Linked DNA regions of Mus musculus. The protein of the gene in region 1 purifies or fractionates together with the protein of each later gene. This does not show direct contact. Links are inferred from orthologs where the notes say so. Each region holds a gene or a part of one and is shown in the gene's direction. Other genes may lie near its edges.

Region 1 (5,550 bases):
TGACTGCATTGAGGACTAGGGGTTCGAGTCATCCTAGGCTATCTAGTTTGAGGCCAGCCTGTGCAACATGAAACCCAGTCTCAAAAACAAAGGAAAGGAATTTTGCTTATGAAAACAACTAGAAAAAGCCTTTAACTTTCAAGTAGAGTCACATAGCTTAAAAATGAAGGGAGTATATGTGGAAACGTCATTACTGAACAGGGCTGGGGCATGTGCCTGTGATTCCCAAACTTTGAAGAAGGTAGAGGCAGGATTTTAAGGTTGATCGTCCAAGTGTGGCAGTTCAGGTTAGTGGATAACTGGGCTATATGAGGCCCGATCTCAAAAACAAGATCTTTAGTAGTTCCTGTAGTATTCTTCTAGATCCTGTGTGTATATAATCAAATAATCAATATACCGTTATGGCTTACTTATAGTGGTATCTTGAAAGTAAATACCCCTGACTTTGATCCATGTGTGTGAGCAAGCTGTTGTCTTGCAATAACCTTTTTGGCATCTCTGTCTCGGGTGACTTCTTCTAGTGCAGTTGCCAAGCTATTTTGTCATAAGAACTTGTAACATCATCACTGCCCTTGTAAAACCGTGGTGAGTTGTGGAATGCCATTTATTTTATTTCTCTTTAAAGAGTTGTTTTTAGATGAGAAGTTAATATTATAAGACTTCTCTTCATCTCTGATCCTCGGGGCTTTTGTTTGGCTTTGAGGGTCTGGGTCTTCAGTGGCCTCCTGAACTAGAGACGAGATTGGCTTTGTTTACTTTCAGATGCCTGCCTTCGATGTCAAGCTGAAAACAAGCAAGAGGACTGTGTTGGTGCGTGGTCGTTCTTTCTCCTGCCTTTGCAACTCAAGGTTTTTCTTCTGTCTCTGTGGGAATGTTTGAATTTCCAATTAAAATTGGCTTTATTAAACTCGCTGTGGTAACCCAGGTCTGTAAATCCAGAAGTGGCAAGGTTGAGGCCAGCTTTTGCTGTGTATTGAGACCTGTTTTGGGGGAGGGGTGGGATGGGGTGGAGGCTTATCAGTACATAAAAAATAAACCAGAAATCAGAAAGCAGTGATTAATTATGAATATAAAATGTTAGGGGCTGGGGAGATGGCTCAGTAGGCAAAAGTTCTCGCCTCTCAAGCCTGTGAACTAAATTTGATCTCTGGAACCCATTTAAGATAGAGAGAGAGATGGCTCCCAAAGGCCTCTGACCTGCACATGAAGCTGTGGCATGCACCTCCCCTCCCTCCCGTCCTGTACACACAATTATAAAAATAGTTTTAAAGACAAAATCAGGATTAAAACTAAAAGGGAGTCTTCTAACAGAAGGCTCATGGTAAAACATCTTTTTAATAAATAATAAAATGTTTTATTTCTCAAAAGACCTTAATAAAATAGATTTGCAAATTCTTTTTTTATTATAATTAAGACTTGGTTATATATTTTATTTATGGTCATATTTTTTTATTTATTTTTTTATTTTTGGTTTTTCGAGACAGGGTTTCTCTGTATAGCCCTGCCTGGCCTTGAACTCAGAAATCTGCCTGCCTCTGCCTCCCAAGTGCTGGGATCAAAGACGTGCGCCACCACTGTCCAGCCATAATAAATGTTTTTGCTAAGCAAAAAGAAATACTATCTCCTATTAAGAAAACTGCCGAACCAGGACTGGTGCCACATACCTGTACCCCAGCAGAGGCAGAAGCATCACTGCCAGTTGAACACTAGCCTGGTCTGTCATAGCAAATTCAGCCAGTCAGCTGTGCAGTGAAACCCTGTCTCAAACACACAAGAAAAGGAGGAAGTAGGAGGATAGAGGGAGGGAAAGAAGAAACATTTCAAGACCTGATCATGGTGGCTTGCATCTGTAATCCCAGCTCCCTGCAAGCAAGACTCAGGCAGGGTGATTACCATGGCCTCTGTAGTGAGTTCTAGGGAGCCTGGGCTATATGTGTAGCAAGGCTCTGTCTCAGCAAAGAACTCTGCTCAGAGAGATGCCTCTCTCCAGCCACTCTGCAAATCTGATTGTGAAATGAAGTGCTACACCGCTTGCTGGCATGGTGGCTTTTGGTTTGATTACCTGGTTTGGGGTTTTGGTCTCACTGTGTGGCCCTGACTTGGAACTTGCTCTGTAGACAAGGCTGGCCTTTCAGTGATCTGGAACCATAGGGTGTGCACACACCACGCTGGGTAGCTTAGCATGACTCCTCACTTGTAGAAAAGCAGCTCCCTGGGTATACAGCTGCTAATGGTCCTGCCCACCATCTGTTTCTAATAGCCAACGCTAAGTTGTAAAACACTATCTTGGTAAATGAAAACCAGGAAGGATGCTTTTCAATAAAAGCACAGAAGATCCCTAAGGATGCCTGCCCCATGACTGAGGGGTCTGGGATTCTAGCAGGTTCAGGTCCCTTTAATCTCCTAATTTAAGACAGTGGAGCTATTTAGGATCTAGGATTGTGGCTTCACCCCCAAAACACAGTGGCACATTAAATATTTTTGTAAATAGAAAAAAACATGTTTTGATCACTTACCCAACTTTTCTCAGAATTACGAGTCATGACTATTTTCTTAGTTTTTAAACTATAGTTTAGAATTTAGTAATTTAAAATTTTAGAATATTTACAATTTTTGTTTTGATAATTTCATATAAGCATATAATTATATAATATATGTTGATTTTGCCCACCCCCTGCTCGCCCCTACCACTCCCCTGACATCCCCTCCATGTGTCCCTTCCTAACTTCCTGTCCCCCTGAACTTAGCTATTTAAATTAAACTGTCTTGTCAGCTGATTTGTTTGTACATTTGTTTCATTGTCTGATTTTTAATACAGATCTTGCTTTGTAACAAGTGGCTTGGGTCTGAGCCCCTCCCGCCTGGTGCTCAGATCACAGGCCCAGCCACCCACTCAGCTGTTCTCTCTCTTGCAGTGGTCTGGGGAGAGTGTAACCATTCCTTCCACAACTGCTGCATGTCCCTGTGGGTGAAACAGAACAATCGCTGCCCTCTGTGCCAGCAGGACTGGGTAGTCCAAAGAATCGGCAAATGAGAGGTGGCCCAGGCGCTCCTGGTGTGGTTGCTGACCCTGGACAAAGACTAAACACTGCAGGGGATTCATCCTTGAGAGAGAGAGGATGCTGTGCGCCTTTGAGACTCACCAAAGGCTTGCTTTATTAATTTGTCTGTTTAGTTTTGGGAAATTCTCTACAATTAAGATAATTTGTTAAAAATGGCCTTTCCTACCTCTGGTGTGTGTGTGTGATACGAATGCATAGAAGAGCGAGAACACCAGAAAATGATCTTTGTTTATCTGTACCCACGACTGTGGGAACATTGTGTTCACAGAAGAACATTGTTTGTGTTTATGCTTGAGGGTTAAAAAATAGATAAACGAATGTTACAGTAACAAATAAAATGCATTGAAAAGCCGACTCCTCCTAATCCTTTTTGTGTTGGGAGAGAGGCAAGCGAGGCCACCCTGCTGTCTTCATTTGCTGTGAATGAGGATTTTAACCTGCACTCAGTGAAGAGGCGTAACTGTCGGGTAAACTGTAATATGGCGTAACTGTCGGGTAAACGGCTTTGTCTCCTGACTTCTCCATCTTTGACTTGGCCAGGAAGCCTGGATTGTTCAACCACTTAGTTCTAAAGAACTGTTTTCTGTTTTTGCGAAGGTTGTATTGTATGTTTTAGTCAAAATATTAGTAGGAAAATGCTTACTAGTATAACACTGAAGTTCATTATGCAATGTTTTAATAAAATATTGTGCTTTGAGTTATTAAAGTTTGATATATACTCTTAAAATCATTAAACTAATTCATCAATTAAATAATTTGAAAAAATTAATATGCTCTTTATTTGGCGGTAAAAATTGCTTGGAAACATGCAAACAAAAATTTTATCAGACTCTTCCAGTAGGGCTGGGAAGATATCTCAGTGTGTAAAATACTATGTGAGTCAGAGGACCAGACTTCAGTCCCTAGAACTCATGTGAGAGAGCTGGGCGTGGCAGCCCAACCCTGAAGAAAATCAGGGGTGGGAAGATGGCTTGGCAGTTTAAAAGCACTTGCTACTCTTGTAAAGGACCCAGATTTTCTATCACCCTCATTGCCACTCACAACTATGTAACTCCAGTTCCAAGGAATCCAATATCATCCTCTGGGTTTCTGTGGGCATTACATGTACAGAGTGCCCATATAAACATGGAGATACACATACATGGGGACAAATACTCATAGAGACTCTAAAAATTCAAATTGAGAATTCTGGAGGGTTTGAGACCGCCCCTCACTGCCCTGGCTGGACTGAACTTGAATGGAGGTTGGCCTCAGGCCTCGGCCCAGCCTCCCAATCACTGCGATTACAGGTGCGCACTACGCTGCCTCCTCGCCTATGCTCTTGTTAATTTGGTTTCTCTGAGATTTTTGCTTCTGTCAGATCCACTAAAGGCATTCAGATAAATATTTTCTAATTTTTCTAGGTACTAAAAGTATACAAATGTTTTCAGTTATTTGAATGTGCCTGTCATTGTGTAATTAACTATTCATAGAGTGTGAACCAGGTGTTTAGCTTCGCTGTAAAGAGAGTAGTCCCCCATCGTGTTCATAGGTGGCTTTGACAGTTCATAAGTGGATTCTGGAGGGTTCCACCCAGTGAGACTCATAACAAAGCCCTGTTTATTGCTACAGGTCAGGATCTGAGGGTAGAGGGGGGCGGGGGAGTGAAACAAGCTTAGTTCTGTTCCCCGCCCCCTTGCTGGCAAGACAGCCCTCATCTGCACAGCCATCCCTGAGTTCCGTACATACTCTCTTACCAGGAAAAAAACATGCAGAGGCACTTTAGTTGTGGGTTCCAGAACCATTAAGCAGGGTTTCTCTCCAAGTAATTAAATGATATTTAATGTCTGTAATTACATATTAGTGATTTTTATCTTAAAACTATAAAATATATAAAGAGCAGTTCAGTGCTTCCGTTTGTCATGAGTAGTTCCCTGCTGTACAGTGGTGTGTGAAGTGAGCTCCTCTGTGTCACGTGGTCCCCACCACCTCATAAGCTGCCCCACCCACACCACCAGCTCTCCCCACCATCCAATTCAAAAAAGGTCACACTTCTGTGTTTGTTTGTTTGAAGACAGGGTTTCTCTGTGTAGTCCTGGCTGTCCTGGAACTCACTCTGTAGACAAGGCTGGCCTCGAACTCCAAAATCTGCCTGCCTCTGCCTCCCAAGTGCTGGGATTAAAGGCGTGCGCCACCACTGCCCAGCTGAGTTCACACTTCTAAAACTTGTTTTGGGAGGCAGGACTGGTTTCCTTGGAAGAGCAATTTTAAGTGACTGACAGAGGGCTGTTCATATGTCACTGCCACCGCCTCTTAGAGGCACCAGAAGAGCAAAGGAATGAATTTCCTTAAAAGGTTAGGTTCTCTATGTGCTGGGGATTGAACACTTACTGCCTTTGCTCAAGTGACGGTACTCCCCTAAAGAAGGTTTTGTAGAGCCAAATGTTGTCCTGTGAAAAATAGCACTTGGGAGGCTGAGATGGGGGGATCATAGCCATGGCTTATATAG
Region 2 (6,532 bases), on another chromosome or scaffold:
CTTCCGTATAAGTCTGTAAAAACTGGAATAGTCTATTCTGAGAATAAAAGGTTGAGTTTTATAACAGACATATTGCACACGAACTCAACAGGGGTCTGGTTAAATAGGGCAGTGTGGCCAGCTTGTCAGATGGAAACTGAACTGGGGTTCCAGTGAGCCCAGTGCGGACTTTCTCTGTGTGGCTTAGATCTGTTTTGTTTTTTTTTTCAGTTAGGATGCATCACACTAAGGTACCTTGTCTCTTTACAACAGGACCCAATCAAAGGCAGCCCAACCATCTGGAATCTGGAAGAAGCTGGGTCTAGCACTCGGAAGGCAGAGGAAGGCGGATATATGAGTTCGAGGCCAGCCTGGTCTACAGAGCAAGTTTCAGGACAGCCAGGGCTAACACAGAGAAACCCTATCTTGAAAAACAACCAAAAGGGGAAAAAAATCAATCTGGAAGAAAAGCTGGCTTATTAGGGCTAATAGTGTGGGATTTAAATATATACAACCATGGCTTGCTCAGCCTGCTTTCTTATAGAATCCAGGACCACCTTGCCCAGGGATGGCACCACCACAATGGGCTCCCCCGTGCCCCACCCCCAACCTCACATCAATAACTAATTAAGAAAATGCCTAAGCCAGGAGTGGTGACGCAGGCCTTTAATCCCAGCACTCAGGAGGCAGAGGCAGGTGGATTTCTGAGTTTGAGGTCAGCCTGGTCTACAGAGTGAGTTCCAGGACAGCCAGGGCTATACAGAGAAACCCTGTCTCAAGAAAATGCCACCACTAGATCTGGCTATAAGGCATTTTCTTTCTTTCTTTCTTTCTTTCTTTCTTTCTTTCTTTGTTTTTGTTTTTGTTTTTGTTTTTGTTTTTGTTTGAGACAGGGTTTCTCTGTATAATCCTGGCTGTCCTGGAACTCACTCTGTAGACCAGGCTGGCCTCGAACTCAGAAATCCACCTGCCTCTGCCTCCTGAGTGCTGGGATTAAAGGCGTGCAGCACCATGTCCAACTGGCATTTTCTCAATTAAGGTTCGTTCCTTTCAGATAACTCTAGGTTCTGGGTCAAGCTGACACAAGGCTACACAGCACAGTTTGTATGCCACATTCAGTTCAGAAGACACCCAACCTCCCTGGAACTGGAACTTATGCACATTTGTGAGCTTCCACTTGGGAGTGGGAACCTGAACTGGGTCCTCTGCAAGAGCAGCCGTGCTCTTAACTGCTGAGCCATTTCAGCAGCCTCACATCAGAATTAAGTTAAAATTAGCCGGGTATGAATCATACCCTTAGAATCCTAGCATCTGAAAGCAGAGCTAAGAGAAACAGGGATTCAAGACCAGCTCTTGGCTACAGAGCCCGTCCTGTCCTAGGATGGGCTACAAGAGACTATTTCAAAGCCATCCAAACAACAATAACTACAACAACAACAAGGTTAAAATTAGGCTGGGCACAGGGTACACACCTTTAATGCCAACACTCAGGAGGCAGAGGCAGGCTGATCAGTGTGAGTTTGAGTTCAACGTGGTCTACATAGGGAGTTCTAGGCCAGCAGAGGTTACAGTCTCTCTCTCTCTCTCTCTCTCTCTCTCTCTCTCACACACACACACACACACACACACACACACACACACACACACGGTGGCATTATGGGATTTTTTTGGGATAAGGTTTCTCTGTCTAGCCCTGGCATAGATTCACTCTGTAGACTAGGCTAGCCTTGAACTCAGAGATCCGCCTGCCTCTGCCTCCCAAGTGCTGGGATTATAGGTGTTGCACCACCACTGCCCAGCCACTTTGGGATTTTTGAACTGTTATCAAGAGGCTTTCGAGGAGGTCAAACTTCAACAGCAACCTCTCCATGATAATGTAGCTAATGATCAAACGACACTCAAAACTAACCCTTAAAGCACACATCCACCAGACAGCGTGCCCACTCGTAGTTCCATTACTCAGGAGGCTGAAGCAGGAGGATGAAGGACTAAGGCTTCAGCAACCTAGGGAGCCGCAGGGGACAGTAGTCTCAATCCCTACATTCTCCTGAACACAGGAGCAGGAGTTCAGGAAGGGTGTCAAGGCCGCTTACTGATCTTAGGGCCTCAGGAATGACTAGCTCAGGCAGAGAGAGCAAAGGTCTCCAGTGGAGAAGTCTACACACACACACACACACACACACACACACACACACACACAGAATCCAAGGCGATGACGTCATCAAAGGGTTAATTCTAGTCTGGGATGGGGGGGAGGGTGGGGCACGCAGCTGTCAGGTGGCTTTGGAAAAATAAACTGCTGAAGAGTCTGACGCCAGGGAGTCCTGGGAGGGACAAGAGGTTACCCACTCAAAGAGTGTGCTCCACAAAGCATGCGCGCTTGTCCACGTCTGGAGTCGTCACTTATTTTTTGCCTGGATTCTTTGTAGCCGGTGGGTTCTCAAGGCGGTAAGTGGTGTGGCCGCCGTGGTCTGGGAGGTGACGATAGGGTTAATCGTCCACAGAGCCCAGGGGCGGAGCGCGGGCGGGCGTCCGCAGCCCCGCTGGAGCCGGAAGCAGTGGCTGGTCAGGGGCGCTTCTAGCCTTCCCTATCTGTACTTCCACAGAGGTCTCTGCGAGCTAGGGGGACAGTGAGGTGCGGGGTAGGGGCCCGGCGTTAGAGCCAGCAAGGGGACGGTTCACGGTAAGGTCTGAGGGAGAGAGAGCTCCTGAGAAACTTGGGGGGCGCGACACAGATAGGGTGAAAGCAGAGTGATAGACCTGGGATGGTTAGGGGACCAAGGGAAGACCAGGCTGGTTGGCATACACCGGTGAACGGATGGGAGTCCTAGGGAAAGATGATGCGCCTAACAGTCCTTTCTGTCTCCACACCACTCCAGGGGACGATCCGGAGCTCAACTTTCAAAAGCGAGACGCCCCAGCAAGCCTGTTTTGAGAAGTTCTTCAGCGGCTCTCCTCATGGGCCAGACGGCCCTGGCAAGGGGCAGCAGCAGCACCCCTACCTCGCAGGCTCTGTACTCGGACTTCTCTCCTCCCGAGGGCTTGGAGGAGCTCCTGTCTGCTCCCCCTCCTGACCTGGTTGCCCAACGGCACCACGGCTGGAACCCCAAGGATTGCTCCGAGAACATCGATGTCAAGGAAGGGGGTCTGTGCTTTGAGCGGCGCCCTGTGGCCCAGAGCACTGATGGAGTCCGGGGGAAACGGGGCTATTCGAGAGGTCTGCACGCCTGGGAGATCAGCTGGCCCCTGGAGCAAAGGGGCACACACGCCGTGGTGGGCGTGGCCACCGCCCTCGCCCCGCTGCAGGCTGACCACTATGCGGCGCTTTTGGGCAGCAACAGCGAGTCCTGGGGCTGGGATATTGGGCGGGGAAAATTGTATCATCAGAGTAAGGGCCTCGAGGCCCCCCAGTATCCAGCTGGACCTCAGGGTGAGCAGCTAGTGGTGCCAGAGAGACTGCTGGTGGTTCTGGACATGGAGGAGGGGACTCTTGGCTACTCTATTGGGGGCACGTACCTGGGACCAGCCTTCCGTGGACTGAAGGGGAGGACCCTCTATCCCTCTGTAAGTGCTGTTTGGGGCCAGTGCCAGGTCCGCATCCGCTACATGGGCGAAAGAAGAGGTGAGATACGGACTAGGTGTGGGGAGATCACTACTCTTGGCAATGGTTTGGGCTGGAAACTCATGGTTGGAGCACAGGAAGTAGGCTTCTTGTCACTTTGGCCTGTCACTTAGATGGCCTTGGATCTAGCTTCACTCCCAATCCCTATTGGATGTGATGCACAAATTCAGAGCCTTTGGGTCTCCCTCAGCTGAGGTGGCGGTGGAAATGGAGGAAGAAGGAAGGGTGCCTGAGCAGGATCTCAAGTTCAAGGATGCCTGGAGTTGCTTACTTACCTTGTCTTCCTTCTCTCTCCGCAGTGGAGGAACCACAATCCCTTCTGCACCTGAGCCGCCTGTGTGTGCGCCATGCTCTGGGGGACACCCGGCTGGGTCAAATATCCACTCTGCCTTTGCCCCCTGCCATGAAGCGCTATCTGCTCTACAAATGACCCAGTAGTACAGGGTGTGCTGGCACCCTACCGTGGGGACAGGTGGAGAGGCACCCGCTGGCCTAGACAACTTTAAAAAGCTGGTGAAGCTGGGGGGGGGGGGCTGGACCCCTTCACCTCCCCTTCTCACAGGAGCAAGACATATAGAAATGATATTAAACACCATGGCAGCCTGGGACAAAGAGGTTTTTGAAGTAAAAAATGAGATGTATTGTCACAACCTGTTTCATTATTGTTTTTTGTTTTGTTTTACACTCCCCCACCCCAGGCTAGAGCCCCATCACTGTCTTAAGGAATTATGACAACCCACAAAGCTCAGGCCCAGGTGTTTATTTCCCTTACATGTAGGATGGTTCACAAACACAATACAGGGGCTTTGGCACCGTGGGGGAGGGGACTATCCCAGGCCTCTTAGGGTCTCATGTATACCGAATTCAGACCCGAAAGCTCTGAATTTCTGCATCAGACATCCAGTAGAACTTGGGAGTGAAGCTAGAGCCAAGGCCATCTAAGTGACAGGCCAAAGTGACACGAAGCCCACTTCCTGTGCTCCAACCATGAGTTTCCAGCCCAAACCAATGGAAGGTGATTTCACTTGTCAGGGCCCAAAGGGACAGTCAGTTCTACTCCCTCCCCTCACTAGGAGCCACCTTGGTGACAGTTGATTCTACCCACTGTAAGTGGTAAAGGGATTGGCCTGGTCCCAACCATAATAGGGCGGTGGAAACGGCTCAGGAGGGTACAGCGTGGATTAGGCCACAAGATGGGGCAGATGATGTCATCAGAAGCATGTGACCGGTGGGAGCAGTTACTAAACTTCTGGGCAACCTAGTCCATGCTATGCAGGCAGGTAGAGGGATGGGCAGTGCTCATTGTTTGGCATTGATGATGTCCACAAATTCAGGCTTGAGAGATGCGCCACCCACAAGGAAGCCGTCCACGTCAGGCTGGCTTGCCAGCTCTTTGCAGGTTGCTCCAGTCACAGAACCTGTACCAGGAACAAGAAGACAGTTTGGTCAGGTCTATGATCAGAACACTTAAGCCCCACCTCTCTGTGCAAGGCAGCCTCAGTCTGTCTTAGCCCATTTCCGTCTTAGCTAGAGCCAAAGCCACTCACCTCCATAAATGATCCGGGTGCTCTGAGCCACCCCATCATTGACATTGGATTTCAGCCATCCCCGGAGCTTCTCGTGTACTTCCTGTGCCTAGAAGGAGGAGGCAGAGCTACTAAGTAAGCTCCTTCCTATCTATCATTCAAGGAGTAAAAACCACTGGTTCTCACATAGAGTTGAGTTTCCAGAAAAGCCCCGGGACCAGAGAGTGGCAAGGCTCCAATCCCACCAGGCTTGGAATGAACATTTTTGGCAAAGTCACTCTCCTTGGTGAGTTTGGGGGCCCTCTGTCTCTAAAGGGGCTTGGATGGGCTCCATAGCTGTGTGAGTCTGTTAAAGCCGGACAGGCTGAGGAGCTCTGGGTAGTTACCTGCTGAGGGGTTGCCGTCTTGCCAGTCCCAATGGCCCACACAGGTTCATAGGCCAGGACCACCTTGCTCCAGTCTTTCACATTATCTGTGGGGCAGAGAGGAGAGTGAGTAGGAAGGAGCTGACCCGCCAAGCTCTCCTGTTATAACAGTTATGGCCTACAGCCCCTGGTGGGCTTCTCCTTCCCCCTTTTAGAAACAACTTGTGCGTGCGTGTGTGCGCGTGCGTGTGTACAAGCTATAGCACACATATGAGGGCAGAGGACAACTTGTAGAAGCTGGATCTTTCCTACCACGTGGCTGTCTTTGGAGGACTCAAACTCAGGGCCTCAGGCTTTACCCACAGACCCTGCTAGCTTTTGAAGGTGGGGTTTGAGCCTTCTGTAGGAACAGTGACAAGAACCATTCAGGTCGCCCTCTTTCCCCGGGGTCAGTATGACTCAGGCAGGCTGTGGGACCTTTGACCTCCCGCCTCCATCCCTGTGGCCTTTGCTAGACTCAGAGAGCCGTGTCTGCAGAGATACCTGCGATGACCTTGGTTTGCTCGAACACGACCTTCTCGGTGATGCCGGCTTCCCTTTCGTCTAGCTTCTCCCCGATGCAGGCGATCACCCCGAGTCCCTCTGCTAGGGCGTGGCTCACTTTCTGGCCAATCAGCTGTTGAAGAACAAATGCTAGGTAGGTAAGATACCCTCTCCCCCAGGATCAAAGCATCCCCTATCTCCCCTCCTGTTTACTGACCTCATCTGATTCTCCAAAGACATGTCTTCTTTCTGAGTGCCCCAGCACGACCCAGGTGGCTCCTAAGTCTTTGATCATGCCAGGGCTAAAACAAACACACACCAAAGTTCGGCAAGAAGCCCTCACGAGGAAGGTTTTCCCTCTACATCCCTCTCTGCCTCCATCTCACCTGATTTCCCCAGTGAAGGCCCCATTGGTCACTTTGTAGCAGTTCTGTGCGGCCACAGCAATTTTGGGATCCAGCTTCTGTCTGGCAAAGTCGATGTAAGCGGTGGGCGGT
Region 3 (7,176 bases), on another chromosome or scaffold:
ACAGCTAAAGAGACAGTTTTCAGTATGTGAGTCAAATGGACTTCTTGGCCTTTCCACATGCTTGTCCAGTCACAGCTCCCTCAAGTTCTGTGGCCACCACACATGGCAACTCAGCTTCACCCTGCTTGTCTATTGTTGACATGACTGTGAGTGAGTACAGGTGCTCAGATGGGCAGAAGAGGGCATTGGATCCCCTGACCATGGAGTTGTATAGGTGGTCATGTGCTGTGGTACTGAGAGCCAAATTCCAATCCCGCCCAAGTACAGCAACCATTCCTAACTGCTGAGCCATCTATCCAGTACCTTCAGTAAACCTGGATTTGTCATGTAGCTCAAGTTGGTCTTGAACTCATGGCAATCCTCCTGCCCGAGTATTAGGACTATAGGCGTGTGTCACCCACCTAACCTGCTTAGGAGGAGGTCCTTGCCTTCCCAGCAGCCAGGAGAGCTGTCAGCTGTGGACACATCTGTGCTCAGCGGGCACCTCATCACTGGTGGCACACTGCCCAGACTTGTGTTCAGTGGTCATGTGAAGGAGCAGCACCGAGTCGGCACTGATGTTATCCTTTCTTGGCCTCCTGTCTCAACATCCCAAGCAGCTGGGCTTATAAACTTCTGCCATCACAGAGTTTTGGGGTTTTTGGTTTTGGTTTTTTTGTTTCATTTTGTTTTTGAGACAGGGTTCCTCTGTGTAACAAGCTCTGATTGACTGTCATTTTGTAAACCAGGTTGGTCTCAAACTCAGAGATTGGCCTGCCTCTGCTTTCCCAGTACTGGGATTTACATGCCCTGTCCAAATTCATTCTTGGGGCTGGAGAGATGGTTTAGTGGTTAAGAGCACTGACTGTTCTTCCGAAGGTCCTGAGCAACCTCCTGGTGGCTCACAACCATCTGTAATGGGATACGATGCCCTCTTCTGGTGTGTCTGAAGACAGCAACAGTGTACTTCCATATAATAAATAAAGTCCTTTAAAAAATTCATTCTTGTGCCAGTCTTCATACCTTTTTATGGGTAATACTTTTCACCATATCAACACACCTGCTTGCCATCTGTTTTCTAATGATATATGTGTCTCATTGTTTTGCCTGCATGTATGTAAGTGTGCCAAGAATGTGCCTGGTCCTGGAGAAGTTAGAAGTAGGCATCAGATCCCTGCCTGGAACTGGAGTCATGACTGTGAGCTAACAAGTTGGTGCTGGGAACTGAACCCTGATCCTCTACTAGAGCAACGAGTGCTCTGAACTTCTAAACCAACTCTTCATCCAATCCCTCATTTTATCAGTTTCTTATACTTGTTTTTAAATGTGCATTGGTGTTTTGCCTGCACATTTGTCTGTGTGAGGGTGTCAGATCTGGAACTAGTTACAGACAGTTGTGAGCTGCCATGTGTGAATTCAGTTGTGAGTTGCCATGTGTGAATTGAACCCGGGTCCTCTGCGTGCACACATGCACACACACATGCACACACACACACACACACACACACACACACTTTATCTATTATCTGACAATGTTCAGGAAGTTTGTGTAAAAACTGTTCCAAGGTACAGTATATGTGTGACTGCAGCATGTGGAGGTATGTGGAGGTCAGAGGATAACTTTCAGAAGTCATTGCAGCCTTTCCCCCTGTTAAAATGGGCTTACACCAGGCCAGGTAGCTCTTGAACTGCTGGACAAATTCTCCTATCTTTACTTCCTTTCTTTCTTATTATAGGAGCCGGAGCTAGATGGAGATTACAGATGGTCAGTCACCGGAGGGAGATCGAACTCATACTGTTAGGCTTACAGTGCAAGAGCGTTGGTCCCAATCTATGTTTACGGTTTTTTTTGTTTTTTGTTTGGTTTGGTTTGGTTTTGGGTTTTTGAGACAGGGTTTCTCTGTATAGCCCTGGCTGTCCTGGAACTCACCCTGTAGACCAGGCTGGCTTCGAACTCAGAAATTCGCCTGCCTCTGCCTTCCGAGTGCTGGAATTAAAGGCGAGCGCCACCACGCCCGGCTTATGTTTTACGTTTTAAATTTTTTGCTATTTATGTGACTTGTGAATGCACTCTTAACCAAGAACGCTGTCCGTGGCCCTCCAGCCTTGGAGCTGGCCGACCGAGTGTGCACATGCAATGCGTTGCCCATCCTGGAGTTCACCGGGCCAACGCTGCTCAGTCGCTGGTCCAAGCCCTCAGGATCCGCTTTGGGAAGGATGTCCCCCACAAGAGACAGCTCAGAGGTGGACTTCAGCCGCCATCCTTGTGCCAAAACACTCAGTAGCGGCCCCGCCCACTCCGCAGCCAGGAGGAAGTCCCACCCCTTGGAACAGCCCACAAGGGAGAGAGGCTTGCCCCTCCAGGGCGAACACTAAGTGGCTGTCCCCGCCCTGCCCTCAGGGAAGGCGAGCCCCACAGTGTACGACGAACTTTGTTACTTCCCTTCTGGGTCTCTGTGAGAGCGGCCGGCCAACGCAGCTTGATAGATAACCTGCCCCCTTCCAACACCCTCCTCCCGGGACTCAGCTGAAGCAGGAGTTATCTCTACCCTTCCGCTTGTCCACGAGGGGGGAAGGGTAGACTTGTGTAATGTTTGACTCTTGATTGGCCCGAATTAGGAAAGGGGTGGGCCTAGGAGGTTATGATCGATGTTAGATGGCACAAATGCCTTAGCAGTAGTAGCCAATGGTGATGACGAGGGGGCGGGAGGCCAGGATGTTGCAGGTCGGTGCCCGGCTACTATGGCTCTGAGGCATCCTGCAGGAAGCAGTAGGGGTTGGGATGGACATGCAAGAGCAACCAATGATTTCGGAAAATCAGTGGGAAGTAGCCAATGGTCACAGCGAGGAGGCGGGGAAAAACGCCAGCCTCAGCAACACTGTGTACGAAATAGCGGGGACGGGACTTCAGTGATAGACAAGCATGTAGACCAACAGAAGTGAGAAAGAGGGTGGCAGCGGGCCAGTAGCAGTGGCGAGTGGGCAGGGCGGGGCGACCGTGGGCTGGGCGGCACCTTGTGTGGGGCGACGTGGGGGCGGGGCGACCGTGACGGCCAGGCTGCCAGGCCAATGGCCCGGAGAGGGCCGGCGGAGGGTGGCCAATGGCGGCGGCGCATCCGGGGGCGGGGCTGCGGGGCTGCGCGGTGCCGTGCGGGAAGCGGCGGGTGGCGGCGGCGGCAGCGGCGGCGGCGGCGGCTAGGAGGCTGAGGTGAAGCTGGCGGCAGCGGGGCGGGTGCACTGGGGGCGGTGGCCAGCGGGCGGGAGCATCAGCGTCCTGACCGCACGGCCGCTCACCAGCCTTCGCCCGCAGGTCTGGCGGCGGTGCCGTGGGCCGCGGTGCGGCGGGCGGGAGGATGGGCACCCAGGGCAGTCCAGTGAAGAGCTACGATTACCTGCTCAAGTTCCTGCTGGTGGGCGACAGCGACGTGGGCAAAGGCGAGATCCTGGAGAGCCTTCAGGACGGCGCAGCTGAATCCCCGTACGCCTACAGCAACGGTAGGCCGGGGTTGGCTGTGGGCGCGCGAGGTGGGAGCGGCCTGTCGCGGGAGCGGGCGGCCTCTGCGCGTGTCGCTGCGGTATCCTCTGGCCCTGCCTTGAGGAGCCGTCGGCAAGCGGGCGCGGGTCCTGGTGGCTACTAAGAAGTCACAGCAGCAGGTCTTTGGAGTCCATTAGGGCCTGGAATGGGCCGCGCGGCAGATACCGCACGACGGGCCCGGTGCTCACCGCACTGCCGCCGGAGGGGTTTGCTCAGAGACACCGCACCCTGTGCAGGGAGAAAATAGGTCTGCTGCGATGTGATTTTTGTTAACTTCCGGGTGCATGGCAAAAAATACACAAGGTAGATTGCATCACTGGCACTTGCCTGAGCTTGCCTCTTAATTTAGATATTTAAGGTAAAATCGTAGCTAACAGTGGGTGGGATTGGATCACAGGGGCTGCTGACTCCGGAGGAATTAATGTGCAGTGGGCCTGTCATCTTATATCACTGGACTAATTCTACCTTCCTGGTCGCTTCCCGAGTCCCTTTTACTCTGCTTTTTTACTTCATTCTCTGGGGTCTTGTTAGCCCTGTCTTACTGCTCTGAGTACTGGCGGTCTGGTAAATAACAGCTGAGTGTGTAGGTAAGACATCTACCACTCTTAGCAGTTAGGACTTGTCAAGGGTGATGACTGCCAGGACATCAGTGGAGGACCCTTCCTTTTGAACAGTAGCGCTGGATCTTCTCTGTAAGTCCTCCCCAAGCACCTCTCAGCTTCAGTTCACAGCAGGCATCTTCAGCGCAGGAAAGGAAGAGTCATGGTTTTACTTTGCAGGGTATGTGAAAAGACCTCTGCACAGCCAGGCAGCCTTGACTGGTATTTAACTGGGCGTCCCAGGGTGACAGCCCTGCTCAGAAAGGCTTTGGGGGGTTACCTTTCCAATGGGGGAGTGTGGGAAGGGCTGGGCTTGGCTTCAGAAATGCTTAGTGTTAACTTGTGCTTTGGAGAGACTGCTTGTCCCTGCTCCACTCTTCCTTTCCCCATCAGCTTCAACCACATATCCACACAGCCTCCTGCTGGATCCTCTTTCCTCCTCTCCTCTGTCAACGGAGTCTTGCCAGATTTCCTATGACGTGCTACCCGAAGTGGGGCCACTAGCACATAAAGAGTACAGAGGTGTGAGACTTACCATGGGCACTGTTCACCCACCCAGTGCTTTCACGATGCACAAGCTGTACGGCCCGTGTGGGTCCAGCAGTGTGAAGCACAGAGGCAAACAGCCTCAACAGCATGGTTCTCATGCTGGGTTGACATGCATACAGCACAGATATCAGGCCTTTGGGTCAGAGCATTGGGCCTCCTCAGAGAAGAGATTAGCAGTGGTAAAGCAGCTGGTTCTGGAGTGTGCGCACAGTGTGTATTTACTGTTTGAAAGAGCTGGACTTCTCGTTCTCTAAGTAGATAAGCGCATGATTCCTTTCTCTCACCATTATTAAACATCCTCTGCATGTCAGCCAAGTGCTGGTGGTGTAGTCCTTTAGTCCCTGTGCTGGGGAGCAGAGGCAGGCAGACCTCTGAGTTGGAGGCCAGTCTGTTCTATAGAGCAAGTTCCATGACAGCCGTGACTACCCAGAGAAACCATGTCTGGAAAACAGAAAGAGAACGTTCATTTTCACTTTTAGGTTTTTTTCAAGGTCCAGGGCTCCTCTGAGCAGGGTAGTCCCCACCTGGGAAGGAGTCTGCTGCTCCATATTGGCCCCTGATCTCCTTCTTGATCCCAGCTGGGTTATTTACCTGTCTCAACGTCTGGTCTAGCTTGTTCCTTGGGTGTGAACATCGCTCTCTCTGACTTTACAAACATGTGAGTCATCAAAACGACTTTTTTTTTTCTTTGATTAGCACTGACACCTGAAACAGTGACAGTACTGTGGCCACATGCCCAGCGTCTGCAGGAGTCCTCTGGTCTGGTGCTTTAAATACTTGTGGTTAGGGTCTCTGTGGAGTTAGAAACATCAGGGCATTGAAGACACAACAGTGATTGTGCCCAGCAGCAGTGATCTCCTCTCTGGATGGAACAGGACATTTTCAGAGAGCTTCATCTGGGCATGCATGGTGGAATTATGCTCCAGAGAAAAGGCGTTGTGGAGTCTCAGCTGTGGGAGAGGACAGGGCGGGGTGTGGCGGGGGTGGGGAACAGCCTTTACACACAAGCATAAAACAAATAAATTTGCCTCTGGTTCTGATATGTGGCATTGGGATGATAGGTCCCTGTTGGCCTCAAGCCAGCCAACTGGGTAGTTACCCTTGAACCCAGGAAACATTATTACTACAGCACACAAGACTGTCCTTGTTTGTGATATGGGCATTGTAAGACAGTTATATCTCGTCCTAGCTCATACAAAGACTCCTAAGTGTTGGATCCTTCAGGAAAATCCATTGTGGTTTATATGCTCATGGCCTGTTAATGGGTCCATGGGTGCTCCTTCATTTCTCTGTTCCTTTGGGAGTTAGTGTTTATGAAGGAAGCTGTGGAGTGATGCTGACGATGGGCATTGCCGAGAATGTTGGGATTTGATGGTTACAGAGATGTCTGTGGCATCAGATGATGCATTCACCTGAGAGAGTGAGGATAATGTGCCTGTGTCCCAGCATGCTGTGAAGACCCTGCTACAGGCAGGGCTGTGGTGTCAGATTAGTGACCCACTGGTCAACACCATTTATGGGAATCTTACTCCATGCTGCCTCTCATTGGGGTTGAATTCCATTTCTCTAAGTGACAGAGTCAGGGGGAGTTTTTTATTTTTATTTTTTTATTTATGTTTTGGCTTTTTGAGACAGGGTTTCTCTGTGTAGCCCTGGTTGTCCTGGAACTCACTCTGTAGACCAGGCTAGCCTTGAACTCAGAAATCTGCCTGCCTCTGCCTTCCAAGTGCTGGTATTAAAGGCATGCACCATCACTGCCCAGCCAGGGGGAGTTTTTAAGTACTTTATTTATTAATGGTGTGTGTATGTCCTCATACAGAGGTCAAAAGACAGCTTTTTACCGGACATGGTGGCACACATCTTTAATCCCAGTACTTAGGAGGCAGAGGCAGGTGGATCTCTTGAGTTCTAGCCAGCCTGGTCTACACAGTGAGTTTTAGGATAGTCAGAGTTACATAGTGATTCTCTGTCTCAAAAATACCTAAATAGAGCTGTGTGGTGGTGCACGCCTTTAATCCCAGCACTTGGGAGGCAGAGGCAGGCAGATTTCTGAGTTCAAGGCTAGCCTGGTCTAGACAGTGAGTTCCAGGACAACCAGGGCTACACAGAGAAACCCTGTTTCGAAAAACCAAAAAAAAGAAAGAAAGAAAGAAAAAAAACATAAGTAAATAAGGGGAAAAAAAGACAGCTTTGGGAGTTGGTTTTCTCTCTCACCCTTGTGGAGCATTTAGGGATTGAACTCAGAACAGGTCTAAGGAGCAGGTACCACATTGGTATTTTGCCTGAGTGTATGTCTGTGTACCATGTGCCAGACCTGGTACCAAACAAGGGCATCAGATGTCCTTATGCAGTTATAATAGACAGTTGTGAGATACCATGTGGGTGCTGGGACTCAAACCTAGGTCTTCCTCAAGAGCAACGGTACTCTTAATTGCTGAGCAAACTTTCCAGCCCCACTCAAGGGAAAAAAATTTTTTTTTCCGAGACAGGGTTTTTCTGTGTAGCCCTGGCTCT
Region 4 (7,081 bases), on another chromosome or scaffold:
TCCTGAGACATTCCTGAATGTCTGGGTGACAATCTGAACAGCCTGGCGACCAAGTGCTGACAAAATGGTTCTAGGCACCAAGAATGGCCTGGGGGGGGGGGGGTGGAGGTGGGGGTGGGGATGGGCCTTCCCCCTTTATAAGCACACTCTCTTAGTAAACTAGTGGGCCTTGATCAGAGAAAAATTGTCTTGGCTTCGTTATTCCTTTCTTGCAGTCTAAGTCTCTTTCAGCCCCAGCCTGCCTTCCAGAAATACCCGGTTCATGTAGGCTGAGGGCCGGCTTACTCCACCCAGCACCAGCTCACCACTGCGTGTCAGTCCAACTCCAGGCTATCTAATCCCTCTTCTGTCCTCTGAAGACACCAGCACACACATGGTGCTCCCAGCACGCACGCACGCGCGCGCGCGCACGCACACACACACACACACACACACACACACACACACACACACACACACACACACACACACACTTTAAATAAATATAAAAATAATTCTGCCAGCTGTGGTTGTATACTTTCCCAGCACCTGGGAAGCTACTGCAGGTGGATCTCAATGAGTTAAGGCAAGACTCATTTACATATCAGCTCTGGGCCAGCCAAGGGCTAGTAAGATCTTGTCTCCATTTGCCCTACCCCACCCCCAAACCCCTTTTAAAAAGTATTCACTTCCTATTCCTCCTGAGATAGAATAGAAAGGCAAATCATGGAGGTATGAGGAGGAAGAGGAGCCCTTTACCTTTACTGAGGAATTTGGTTGAAGCCTCTTGCCAACAGAGAAGCAGGAATTCCAGCACAATTAACTGCTTAAAGCTTTCCTCCCTCCGCACTTATGCACCTGCAATTTTCCAGGACTCTCACTAGAAACTTTTACAGGAAATGGACATGCACAAAACTCATGCAATCAGTGGCTCCTGGCTTTATCAGATTATAATTCCATCCAAGGTATGTCTGAAGCCACCCCATAATCTCATAGACACACACACAAACACGAGAGAGAGAGAGAGAGAGAGAGAGAGAGAGAGAGAGAGAGAGAGAGAGAGAGAGTGTTAGTTTCTGAGTACTCTTGAGATCTAAGTTGAGAGCCATCAAAATGGTGTATATAGTAGCTAGTGCTAAGGATTGTGACTCCCTTGAGGAGCTATACTTGGGTGTGTCTTCCATAGTACCTCTCTTCTAAGTCTTTAGGTTAAAGTCTAATGTTAAAGTATTTTAAATAAAACCTCAACATTGCTTCCATTAGTCTTAACAAATTTTTTTTTTCCCGAGCCAAAGCAGTAAGTCCAGTTTTGCTTGAGTTTTGGTCTCAACGAAGTTCTCAGGCTAGGGTGACAGCCTGGAGTTTTATCTCTGTCCCCTCACCCGTGACACTCCCTTTTCTGGAAGCAAACTGACACCTACTATTCCACTCTGTTTCCGAAGCTGATTCCTTTAGTGACCTATGTGTGGAAGAGTGCATTATTTGTTCGTTATTGCTGGCTTATTTCACTGAGCAGAGATCCTCCAGGGTTGGCCATGTTGTAACCTGGGGCAGAGGCTTTTTAAAGGATATATGGATGGCCACGACACCACATTTTGATGCGCATTTGGGTGGTTTTACCCTTGAGGTATCCCAGCCAGGGATGTGCAGCCGTGGAGCAGAGCCATAAGGCTGAGCCACCTCTGGCTCTTTGCCTTGCAGCGTCATTGGTGTCACCTGTCCCTCGTGCCAACGGTGTTATCAAGACCAAACACCACTGCAGGAATCTCCCCGCTCCCCTCAAAACCCTCAGAGCCCGTGGCTCTGTTCCAGGATGCCTCACACAGCTCCACAGACCTGTGCAACTGAGCCAGTCTGGGCACGAGGATTTGTTGGGCACCTATAGTCGCTAGCTCCCAGCTGGTGTGCCATGACCACACAAAGATGCAGACAAGTCACAGCCGCGGTGTTGGAGACTGTGGCCTTGCCTCCATCTCACAGGACAGCGGGGCGCTTCTGTCTCCTTAAGGCGCGGTCTCCCCCCGGTCCACTGGGGTCCTCCCCCTGCAAGGTACCTTCCCTAAGTTGTGTAGAGGAGAATGAAAGGACCCGACAGCGTCCATGCTTAAGAACTGTTCGTAACGCAACGCACACAGTGTGACCGATGTAAAATCGGGAGTGCTTGAGGGAAAGCCACTCTGTCAACACGCCTTGACCAAGTTACAGACACTATTGGCTCCATGGAGACATTCTGGGCTGCCTTCGTCTAACACAACTTTGCAAGTCACCGACTCGGAAGGCACCGTTTGGAGTCTCGTAGAAAGGACAGCAGCGCAGCCCCACGTCACTCAACACCCTTCAGCCGCTGCGATAGCGGACCACAGTCCACTGGGCCGTAACGGTCCCGCCCACGTCCCGCCCTCCAGTGGGCGGGAACAGAATCGACCAACCAGGAGTTCCTGAGGCATGCAAATAAGCCTCCGCCCCCAGAGGAAAGGCGTTTCCCCAGAAGCTGCTGCTGTTGCCTCGGGAGACGCAGTTTGGTCAACCCCGCTAATCAGCAATCAAGTCCGTTAGCCAGGCCGGAAGTGGAGACCCCAGCACCCTCCGTCCGGAGCAGGAAGTACGAAAAGGAGGCTCATACTCCCCGGAAGCCGAGCCCTGGACACGCCCACCTGCCGGAAACGCCGGCGGTGCTTCTCTGACAGCGTTGCTCTCTGACAGGATTGCTGCGGAGGTGGACAGGCGGCGGGGTCAGGGCGGAGGCTGAGGACCAAGTAGGCATGGCGGAGGGCGGGACCGGCCCCGATGGACGGGCCGGCCCGGGACCCGCAGGTAACGTGCGCGGCTAGGGGTAGTAGGGAGCGGGGTTGCGTCTTGGGGTCAGAGTGTCCCTTGGGCGTCCGGGACTCGGGTCCTCGGTCCTCGCAGGCCAGATCCGAGGAATCGCGCCCGGGGTCAGTAAGTGTGGACGTTAGGCTCCGCGCGGCCCTAGGCGCGCGCCCCCGCTCCTGCCTGGCCTCTCGTGGACATCCCTCCCACGGAGGTTTCTTTCTGGTGGAGCTAGCCTTGTAACTGCCACCCTGTTAGCCCATCCCCGTCAGCGATGACCCTGGCTGGACCATGGGGTTCGGATCTTCTTCCAGGTATGAGCTCACTGGTCAGTAAGGGCCCTCAGAGGTCAGCCTTCGTGCGGACAGGTTCCCTTTCCCCATCCCGCCAGCCAGTCAGCGCAGTAGCTACTGGACAAACGTCCTCCGCCCCACCTCCACCCACCTTAACGACAGTGCTGTCCCCAGAGAGCTTGCTAGTGCCACAACTCTTACAGGGGCGCTTGACCCACCTGCAGAAAAAGGGTGACACTTGCCACCTGCCTTAAAGCTGCTCCACTTTGCAGTGCTGCTACAATGGAACTAACAATTCCCAGGAGAGTTTCCTGGTACGGCGTCCACCTTGGGGTCTTTCTGAACCTGCTGGTAGGTGTTTGGTAGGTGTGCTTCTGCACCCATCTCTGATTTTAGAGTTCACTGAGCTCTCTTCTGTATGCAGAAAATCTGAGAAAGCCACAATGTTGGTACAGTCTCTTGTCATTCCTCCCTCCATCAATTCAACAAACTTTGTGGATGATGTCCTATTGGCCTGACTCACCTGGGGCTATCGGGGTGACATGAAAAAGCAAGGCAAGGCCTCTACCACCAAGAGCTTTGGTTGTCATTGAATTTGATCTCAGGGACAGACAAGATCTTTGAGTGGATTGACCTGTCATGCAGGAATGAGAAATGGGAGAGAGGTGGTTGGTCAAAGGGTAGCTATTTCTTAAGGTACAGAATAGTCCTGTGGAAGAAAAAGTGGTTTTGCACCCCACCCCGACCCCAGTGTTGTTTTAGTGTCTGTTCTGTTTGTGTGTTTCCAGCTTGGGTAGAGGCACAGGTCTTCAGTGGGTAGTTGGATTAGATGATCAGAGAAGTCCGAAATTGAAATGGCTTTCGGCTCTAGAACTGGAGGAGATTCTGAAGGTCTGTTGGCCTGGGCTGGGAGTGTAGAGGAGAGGTGAGCTAAGGGGGTCCAGAGACTTTCCGAAGTCCTCTGGTGCCAGCCATTTTCCTAACAGTTACCCGGTACATCTGAATCCTCCCCAACTCTGGCTTTAAATTTTTATACTGTGCTGTAGTTACAGTGATGAAAGGAGGACCTGGAAGCGCCTTACAGATCCATTTCCAGGCTAGATAGATGCCTGCCTGTTGGTCTGCTGTGCACCAGAGTGAACCGAATAGGTTTTTGTGAACCTTGTGCTGCCTTGGTCTCAGCCCAGTCAATGGACTTTCAGGCCGCAGAGGGCAAGGATACTTAGTCGTCACCACCGTGTACCTATAGGAGAATCTGTAGGGGCTCAACGGATATTGTATTCAAATATGGAAACACATCAGCGACTAGAAAAAGCCTGCCTGTGAAGGGATATGTTTGGTAACATGCTAGGACATCCCCACAGGGTGGGAGACTTGAATCCAAGCAGTTAGAATTTGTGCTGTCTTTATTCACCTGTTGGTGCAATGCTTTTAATAAAGCTTTTCAGTCTCCTGGAGTTAGTTTGGGCTGTGATGTGAGCAAAGATGTATTTCCAAGTAGGTGATTAATTGTTCAACTACTTTCCACTGGCTGTATGTCTCACTCTGATTTTATGCCTGCTTATTACAGTTGAGCTGTTTATATTAAGATTAAAGTCTTCCTGGAGAATTGATTCTGCTTTTTGTTTTTGTTTTCTTTCTAGTCTGGTGAGAGTTTTGTTATCTAGTATGGTAGGGTTCCTTCCACCTGTTATTCTTACTAAAACAGCAACAAAAGCTATTTTCCCTTATGTATATCTACAAATACAAGTTTGAAATCATTTTGGTATATCTGATATCAAATTTCTGAAGAAACTGGATACATTATATTTATAGGGAACCCTGAGAATTTCTCTAATATTGAATCTCATCCTAGTACATGATACAGTCTTTCTATTCACTTCTATTTTTTTTGTTGTATAGGTTGGACTTGTATTTATGCACATATATTTTAGTTTTCTATTTTATTGAGGTATGATTCTCTCTCTCTCTCTCTCTCTCTCTCTCTCTCTCTCTCTCTCGTGTGTGTGTGTGTGTGTGTGTGTGTGTGTGTATGTATGGAGCTCAGAGGTCAACATTTAGTGTTTTTCTTACTCCACCTTATTTTTGAATCAAGGCTTATGTATTTGGCTAATCTAGCTGCCAGCCTGCCCAGGGATCCATGACCCTAAGCATCCTCCAGTCTCTGCCTCTCCTACCCACGTTGGAATGGTAGGGATGTGTAACTGGTCTTGGCTTTTTATCTTTTATATGGTTGTTGGGGATCTGAGCTTCAGGGCTTATATTTGTGTGGCACACACTACCAAATGAGCCATCTCTCCAGACTCTTGAACTGTAATTTCTATACAAACAAATAAAGGTATACCTTTGAGGCTTATTCCTTGTTATTTCATTTTCACTGATACAGTAAACTCCCTGAGATAGTCTAACTATAAAGAAAAGAGATGTGTTTAGTTCACAGTCATGAACACTGTGGGGACAGTTGTACTCTGCTGAATTGTCTCTTATCAAGACACATTGTGACGATTTTACAGAGCAGTGTGGTATGGAACTCATTCACCTTCCAGGAAAACAACCCTTGCTTGGCCCTTGGCTTTTGGCTAACCAGCTATTTTTACAGTAAAGGAGATGACTACCATTCTCCTTTCAAATGCCCCAATTTAAACATCTTCTTACATACATGATATAAATTAGAGTAATTTCATGCTGGGTTTTTTTTTTTTGGCATAATATTTCAAACTTCAGTTTGTACTACTGTTATATTTTTCCTTGTTCAACAGACCATCACATTTTTTTCTTTTATTTTTTTTAGAAAAAAAAAATCTTATTGGGTTTGGTGTCAGGAATGTGCTAGTTTAAAAAGGGAAACTTTCCAGCTTTCTCTTTTAAATTATTTTCTGGGAATTTGAATGTTCTCTGTGTGGCTAGCAGGAGGGAGCCACTGGAGAAAGGCAAAGCATCCTGTTTGGTCAGCCTTGCCAGTGTTTCCGCACCCTGATAAGAGCCCCTCTCTTCAGTGCAGGTCCTAATCTGAAGGAGTGGCTGAGGGAGCAGTTCTGTGACCATCCACTGGAGCACTGTGACGATACAAGACTCCATGATGCAGCCTATGTAGGGGACCTCCAGACCCTCAGGAACCTACTGCAAGAGGAGAGCTACCGGAGGTGAGCATTGGGCCGGTAATGGGTGTTGGCCTGTGGGCCTGCAGGAGGCTGAGGCTTGTGCTTTGGATTGCAGAACAAGACTCTGATGCTGCAGGACTGCAATTTGCTTTTAGAGGAGGGACAAAAGGAGGAATTATAGGTGGCCAGATGCAGTGGGCAGGGGTTCCTGGAGCCAAGTCTGCCTGGAATTGTTCTGGTAACTTGTCCTATGTGAGCATCAGTTTCCTCAATGTTTTTTATTTTATTTTATTTTATTTTATTTTATTTTATTTTATTTGAAACAGGATCCCACTCTGCAGCCTTGGCTGTACCAGAACTCATTATGTATACCAGGCTGACCTCAAAGTCATAGAGATCTTCCTGCCTCTGTCTCCTGAATGCTAGGATTAAAGATGTGCTCTACCATGCCTGGCTATTTTATTTATTTTAATTGTGTGTATATGAGGTGTGGGGTGGGTATCAGCATGTGAATATAGGCAACAGAGGCCAGAAGAGCTCTTCCATTTGAACTGGGGTTACAGGTGTGGTTGTGAGCCATCTGATGTGTGTGTTTGGAATTGAACTCAGGTCCTCTAGGAGGGTAGAACATGCTCTTAACCACTGAGCTATCTCTTGAGCTAGTCACTATGACTCTTTATCCTGGGTAGTTCTTTGTCTACAGCCACTTTATTGACATTCATTTTATGTTCTCTTCTTCACATCTCAGGTCTGTAGTGATCAACCATGACTTCCCACTGTAGGGATGTGGTAGCTTCCATCTCCTTTGTTTTCCTGTCCATAGCTTCTTGCTTCTTGCTTGCCAAGTCCTTCTGGTCACTGGGTCCCAACTCTTCCTGGATAGCAGAGTCTTGCCTG
Region 5 (3,500 bases), on another chromosome or scaffold:
GACACTTGAGAATCTCGGTCAGTCCTTTGACTGTAAGATCCACAGTAGACCCTTCCTCAGACAATGCCTTCCCTCACATCCCTCCCTCTCCAATGCTTTGTACCTCTGTAACGTTCTCTTTTCTCTGTCATTTTAGGACAGCCCAGAACCCTGCAGGACCTGTGCCGAATTAAAATTCGACAGTGTATAGGCCTTCAAAACCTGAAGCTGCTTGATGAGCTACCAATTGCCAAGGTCATGAAAGACTACTTAAAACACAAATTTGATGATATCTGATACACCTGGACTGTGGACAAGATTACGAGTTATTCCAGATACTTAAAAGGCTTCAGGCCTTGCACAAAGTATATCCTATGCAATTTCTGATTTGCGGTCAAGTCAGAAAGCAGGTATACACTTTTAGGTTTATGTTTGTTTGGATTTCATTTGGGGGAGGGATCTGTGTGTGTGTGTGTGTGTGTGTGTGTGTGTGTGTGTGTGTCTACACTCACACATACACACCCCACGCTTGAAGGTCTTAATTTGGTTTCTTGGTCCAAGTCGATGAGGTCCAAGCCTTTCTATACAATACTGCATTTAGAAAATTTGTTTTTCCTAAGTGCACAATATAGACAGGTTTGAAGCAGAGAATTTTCCCTTTTGATGCTCTGGTTTCATTGGTGAACACGGTACTAGGAACCAGTAGACGGAATACTTCTTAAAGTTTGGAGGTCTCAGGCTCACCTCCTGTGATCCTGGGTGATGCTGGAAAATTCTCTGTGAAGAAACTTACAGTAATGCTGTCGCCTCATTCATTTTTAATGAGTACAGATGAGCTGTTTAAAAATCCTTTTTCCCTTCTAATTAATGTAGCTTTCCGATGAAAAAAACCAACCCAGGACCTCGGCTTCCTTTGGTGTGCGCTTTTTTTTTAAATTATTTTTTTTAACAACTGTAAGACACTACCCTGAAACATTGTGTTTCAACTCCCCCACCCCCTCTCTTATTGAATTGTGCTTTTAAAACAAAATCAATGGGGAAAGGAATTAACTTTTTAAAGCCAGTGTATTCTGTTTTTTAAAAAACAAAACAAAAACAAAAAATGGTGCCTCTTGTGCAACTCTCTTGGTGTCGTCTCTGGATGGTTTGCTCTTCCTGTTCTTCAGTTGGCTTCCTTGTGCCCCTTGGAGCCATCATCACCACCTCCATCCCACAGCAGGCCACCAGGATCACCTCAGTTTCCACCTTAAACTTTGTGTTTTATTTCACCTTAAAGAACAAATTTCATATTCTGGTGATGACAGAGGTCCCTAGAAATAGCCCACATTCTTGCTAAACCATTCTACTTTAATGACTAAATATTTCAGGGTGGTTTCTTGGTGGATTTTTTTGCCTTCCTGGTAATATGTATACATATATATTTTAAGGGGAAAGTCTCTAATGGGCACCCTTTTGTAAGCCTGGCAAATTGCTGATACGCTAATTAAGTATTTCCTGTCTATTTTGAAGGTGAGTACAGTAAAGCTCTTCAAGACAAATATTTTAATTTTCTGGGTTGGTTGGACAAGTATGTGCAAGAAAGACCCGGATGTAGTAAAGTGTTAGTAACAAGGGGGAGGGCCCAGAGGCCCTAGGCATCATGGGTGTTCCTGGGGACACACACTCACTGCTTCATTTGACGTTATGTTAGTTTGAAGACACCCCCTTTTAAGTTCCCCATGCCATTCTTAGTGCTGTGACAAATTTTTTAAATATTTATAAACTGTTAATAAATTTGCTATCAAAAGGTTGCAGGATAAGGGCTTCTCCTTTCTTGTCAGAATTGCCAGTTTGAAGGCATAGAGGGTAAAGTCTTCCCCTCCTAACATAATTAAGCAGAATTAGGTTTCCCTGAGTTCAGGCTAGCAGTGTTGTTCACTCAAGCCCAAAGCTTGCCGTCTTGGCCAGAGTAGCTGTGACCGCAGAACATTGGGTTTGCGTGTGCCTAGGTGGCACAGGGATTCCTGAACAGGCAAAAGGATGCTTCAGGGACTTGCTGATGTGGCCCATAGCCTCCTTCAGGGAGAGCATGAGGCCAGAGTGATAGCTGGGACCCAGGAAGATAGGGATGGCTGTGGTGACCCTGGCTGAAAGGTTACCTCCATGGAGAGTCCCCTTCTAAGGCACCTGCAAAGCTGTGTTCTCAGTCTTTATTCAGGCCCCAGGTCAGGGCTGGAGACACACTACCAGCCTTAGGGACACAAAGTGACCAGAAATTAGTTGAGTGTAACTTGTGTTAGAGCCCCAGCCCAGCATGGAAAGTGGTGGGAGGAGAGCTGAGAGTCTGGACTCTGAGCTGCCATATTAGTGTCCAGTTGCACAGGAATCATACATGAAAATTAATTTATTTTGTAAGTTAAAAGTGACATTCACTTTCCAGCCATTCAGAGGGTTCTGAACTAAGCCACTGAAATCGAATTGAATCAGGGGATCCCAAATAAAAAGATCATATTAAGGCAAATTCTTTGTGCTGTTTACTGCTGTGACTTCAGAAAAAAAAACAAAAAACAAAAAAACAAAAACAATTCTGAGTGCTCTTCCAGGAATTGAAAATTCTATTTAATGAAGAAGTGTATAATTCCATTATTTATTGTTTGTGGTTTGATTTATCTGGAAGCTTGAGAGAATGTCCTTTGTTTATACTAGACCCCAGTCCTGTGCTGTATTCTATGGTAACGGAAGGGCTGTCCAGTTGCTGATGTGGTTGTGGTGACCATGCAGGTCTGCCCCTGAATTTGTTATCAGAGAAGCAGTCTGTGGCCCTAGGAGAGAAAACAGCCCCTCATAACACAGCCCGTTGACTCAAAATTCACACTGAGTCTTTTGCGCTTCTTTTGAAATTTATTATTTAAGCCTATTACTAAAACTTTATAAAATGCATTTGGCGAATACACCAAAGAAACCAGCTCATAAAATATGATCATTAACGAACTGCAAACCTCATCTTTTGAAAACAAGGGTGTTTCTTTGTAAATATTTGTGTTTATAAATGTACAGCAGAGTTAAGAGTGTTTTTTTAGATTATTTAATTCCCATATTTCTAAACTATTTACTACAGAATAACCCCTGCTTATTAGTTTGGGTGACTTGATTGTTTGTTTTTTTTTTTTTTAATTCATTACCAGTCATGCTTGGAGTGACGATTCTGCTGGAGAGGTCAGCACTCTGGCAGTGGCTGGAGTCGCTTGTAAAGCATGGGGGAGACTAGCATGACCTGTCAGACTCCTCCCTCGTAAGACACCAGGAAAGCGTAGCTTAATGGCCAGAGTGGACCATGAGAAAGAGTTTCTAACTTCCCTACTGAATCACCTGTTAGCCCAGGGTGGAATTGGGACAAGGCTGTTTGCCCACAAATTTAGCTTTCATGTAACTCCCAGTGTGTTGTATCATAATATATTCTGTTCTTTCTTTGTAACGTAAGTTTTGCTTTGGGTCGATTTGAATTAAAAAAAAAAATCTTAAATCTGGTTTAAAAAAAATAC

What was found.
Region 2: the proteins of Rnf7 (region 1) and Spsb2 purify together in Homo sapiens (co-immunoprecipitation; 3 studies listed by BioGRID and IntAct, with this or other methods). This does not show direct contact. The link is inferred for Mus musculus from reciprocal best matches to the Homo sapiens genes RNF7 and SPSB2.
Region 3: the proteins of Rnf7 (region 1) and Rab40c purify together in Homo sapiens (co-immunoprecipitation; 4 studies listed by BioGRID and IntAct, with this or other methods). This does not show direct contact. The link is inferred for Mus musculus from reciprocal best matches to the Homo sapiens genes RNF7 and RAB40C.
Region 4: the proteins of Rnf7 (region 1) and Asb1 purify together in Homo sapiens (co-immunoprecipitation; 3 studies listed by BioGRID and IntAct, with this or other methods). This does not show direct contact. The link is inferred for Mus musculus from reciprocal best matches to the Homo sapiens genes RNF7 and ASB1.
Region 5: the proteins of Rnf7 (region 1) and Asb7 purify together in Homo sapiens (co-immunoprecipitation; 4 studies listed by BioGRID and IntAct, with this or other methods). This does not show direct contact. The link is inferred for Mus musculus from reciprocal best matches to the Homo sapiens genes RNF7 and ASB7.

The regions. Positions count from the first base shown.
Region 1 is NC_000075.6:96,469,218-96,474,767, reverse strand, and holds the end of Rnf7 (RING-box protein 2), read left to right. Parts: intron 1-762; coding exon 763-810; intron 811-2,915; coding exon 2,916-3,034; 3' UTR 3,035-3,831; downstream 3,832-5,550. UniProt on the Homo sapiens protein: Catalytic component of multiple cullin-5-RING E3 ubiquitin-protein ligase complexes (ECS complexes), which mediate the ubiquitination and subsequent proteasomal degradation of target proteins.
Region 2 is NC_000072.6:124,806,369-124,812,900, forward strand, and holds Spsb2 (SPRY domain-containing SOCS box protein 2), read left to right. Parts: upstream 1-2,549; 5' UTR 2,550-2,662; intron 2,663-2,858; 5' UTR 2,859-2,937; coding exon 2,938-3,601; intron 3,602-3,900; coding exon 3,901-4,031; 3' UTR 4,032-4,248; downstream 4,249-6,532. Other genes in the region: Tpi1 (triosephosphate isomerase), read right to left, coding at 4,901-5,019, 5,149-5,236, 5,514-5,599, 6,036-6,168, 6,253-6,337, 6,422-6,532. UniProt on the Homo sapiens protein: Substrate recognition component of a SCF-like ECS (Elongin BC-CUL2/5-SOCS-box protein) E3 ubiquitin-protein ligase complex which mediates the ubiquitination and subsequent proteasomal degradation of target proteins.
Region 3 is NC_000083.6:25,915,663-25,922,838, reverse strand, and holds the start of Rab40c (ras-related protein Rab-40C), read left to right. Parts: upstream 1-3,124; 5' UTR 3,125-3,187; intron 3,188-3,289; 5' UTR 3,290-3,332; coding exon 3,333-3,474; intron 3,475-7,176. UniProt on the Homo sapiens protein: RAB40C small GTPase acts as substrate-recognition component of the ECS(RAB40C) E3 ubiquitin ligase complex which mediates the ubiquitination and subsequent proteasomal degradation of target proteins.
Region 4 is NC_000067.6:91,538,072-91,545,152, forward strand, and holds the start of Asb1 (ankyrin repeat and SOCS box protein 1), read left to right. Parts: upstream 1-2,493; 5' UTR 2,494-2,741; coding exon 2,742-2,793; intron 2,794-2,819; exon of another isoform or gene 2,820-3,064; coding exon of another isoform or gene 3,065-3,104; intron 3,105-6,079; coding exon of another isoform or gene 6,080-6,084; coding exon 6,085-6,226; intron 6,227-7,081. UniProt on the Homo sapiens protein: Probable substrate-recognition component of a SCF-like ECS (Elongin-Cullin-SOCS-box protein) E3 ligase complex which mediates the ubiquitination and subsequent proteasomal degradation of target proteins.
Region 5 is NC_000073.6:66,644,562-66,648,061, reverse strand, and holds the end of Asb7 (ankyrin repeat and SOCS box protein 7), read left to right. Parts: exon of another isoform or gene 1-136; coding exon 137-276; 3' UTR 277-3,497; downstream 3,498-3,500. UniProt on the Homo sapiens protein: Probable substrate-recognition component of a SCF-like ECS (Elongin-Cullin-SOCS-box protein) E3 ubiquitin-protein ligase complex which mediates the ubiquitination and subsequent proteasomal degradation of target proteins.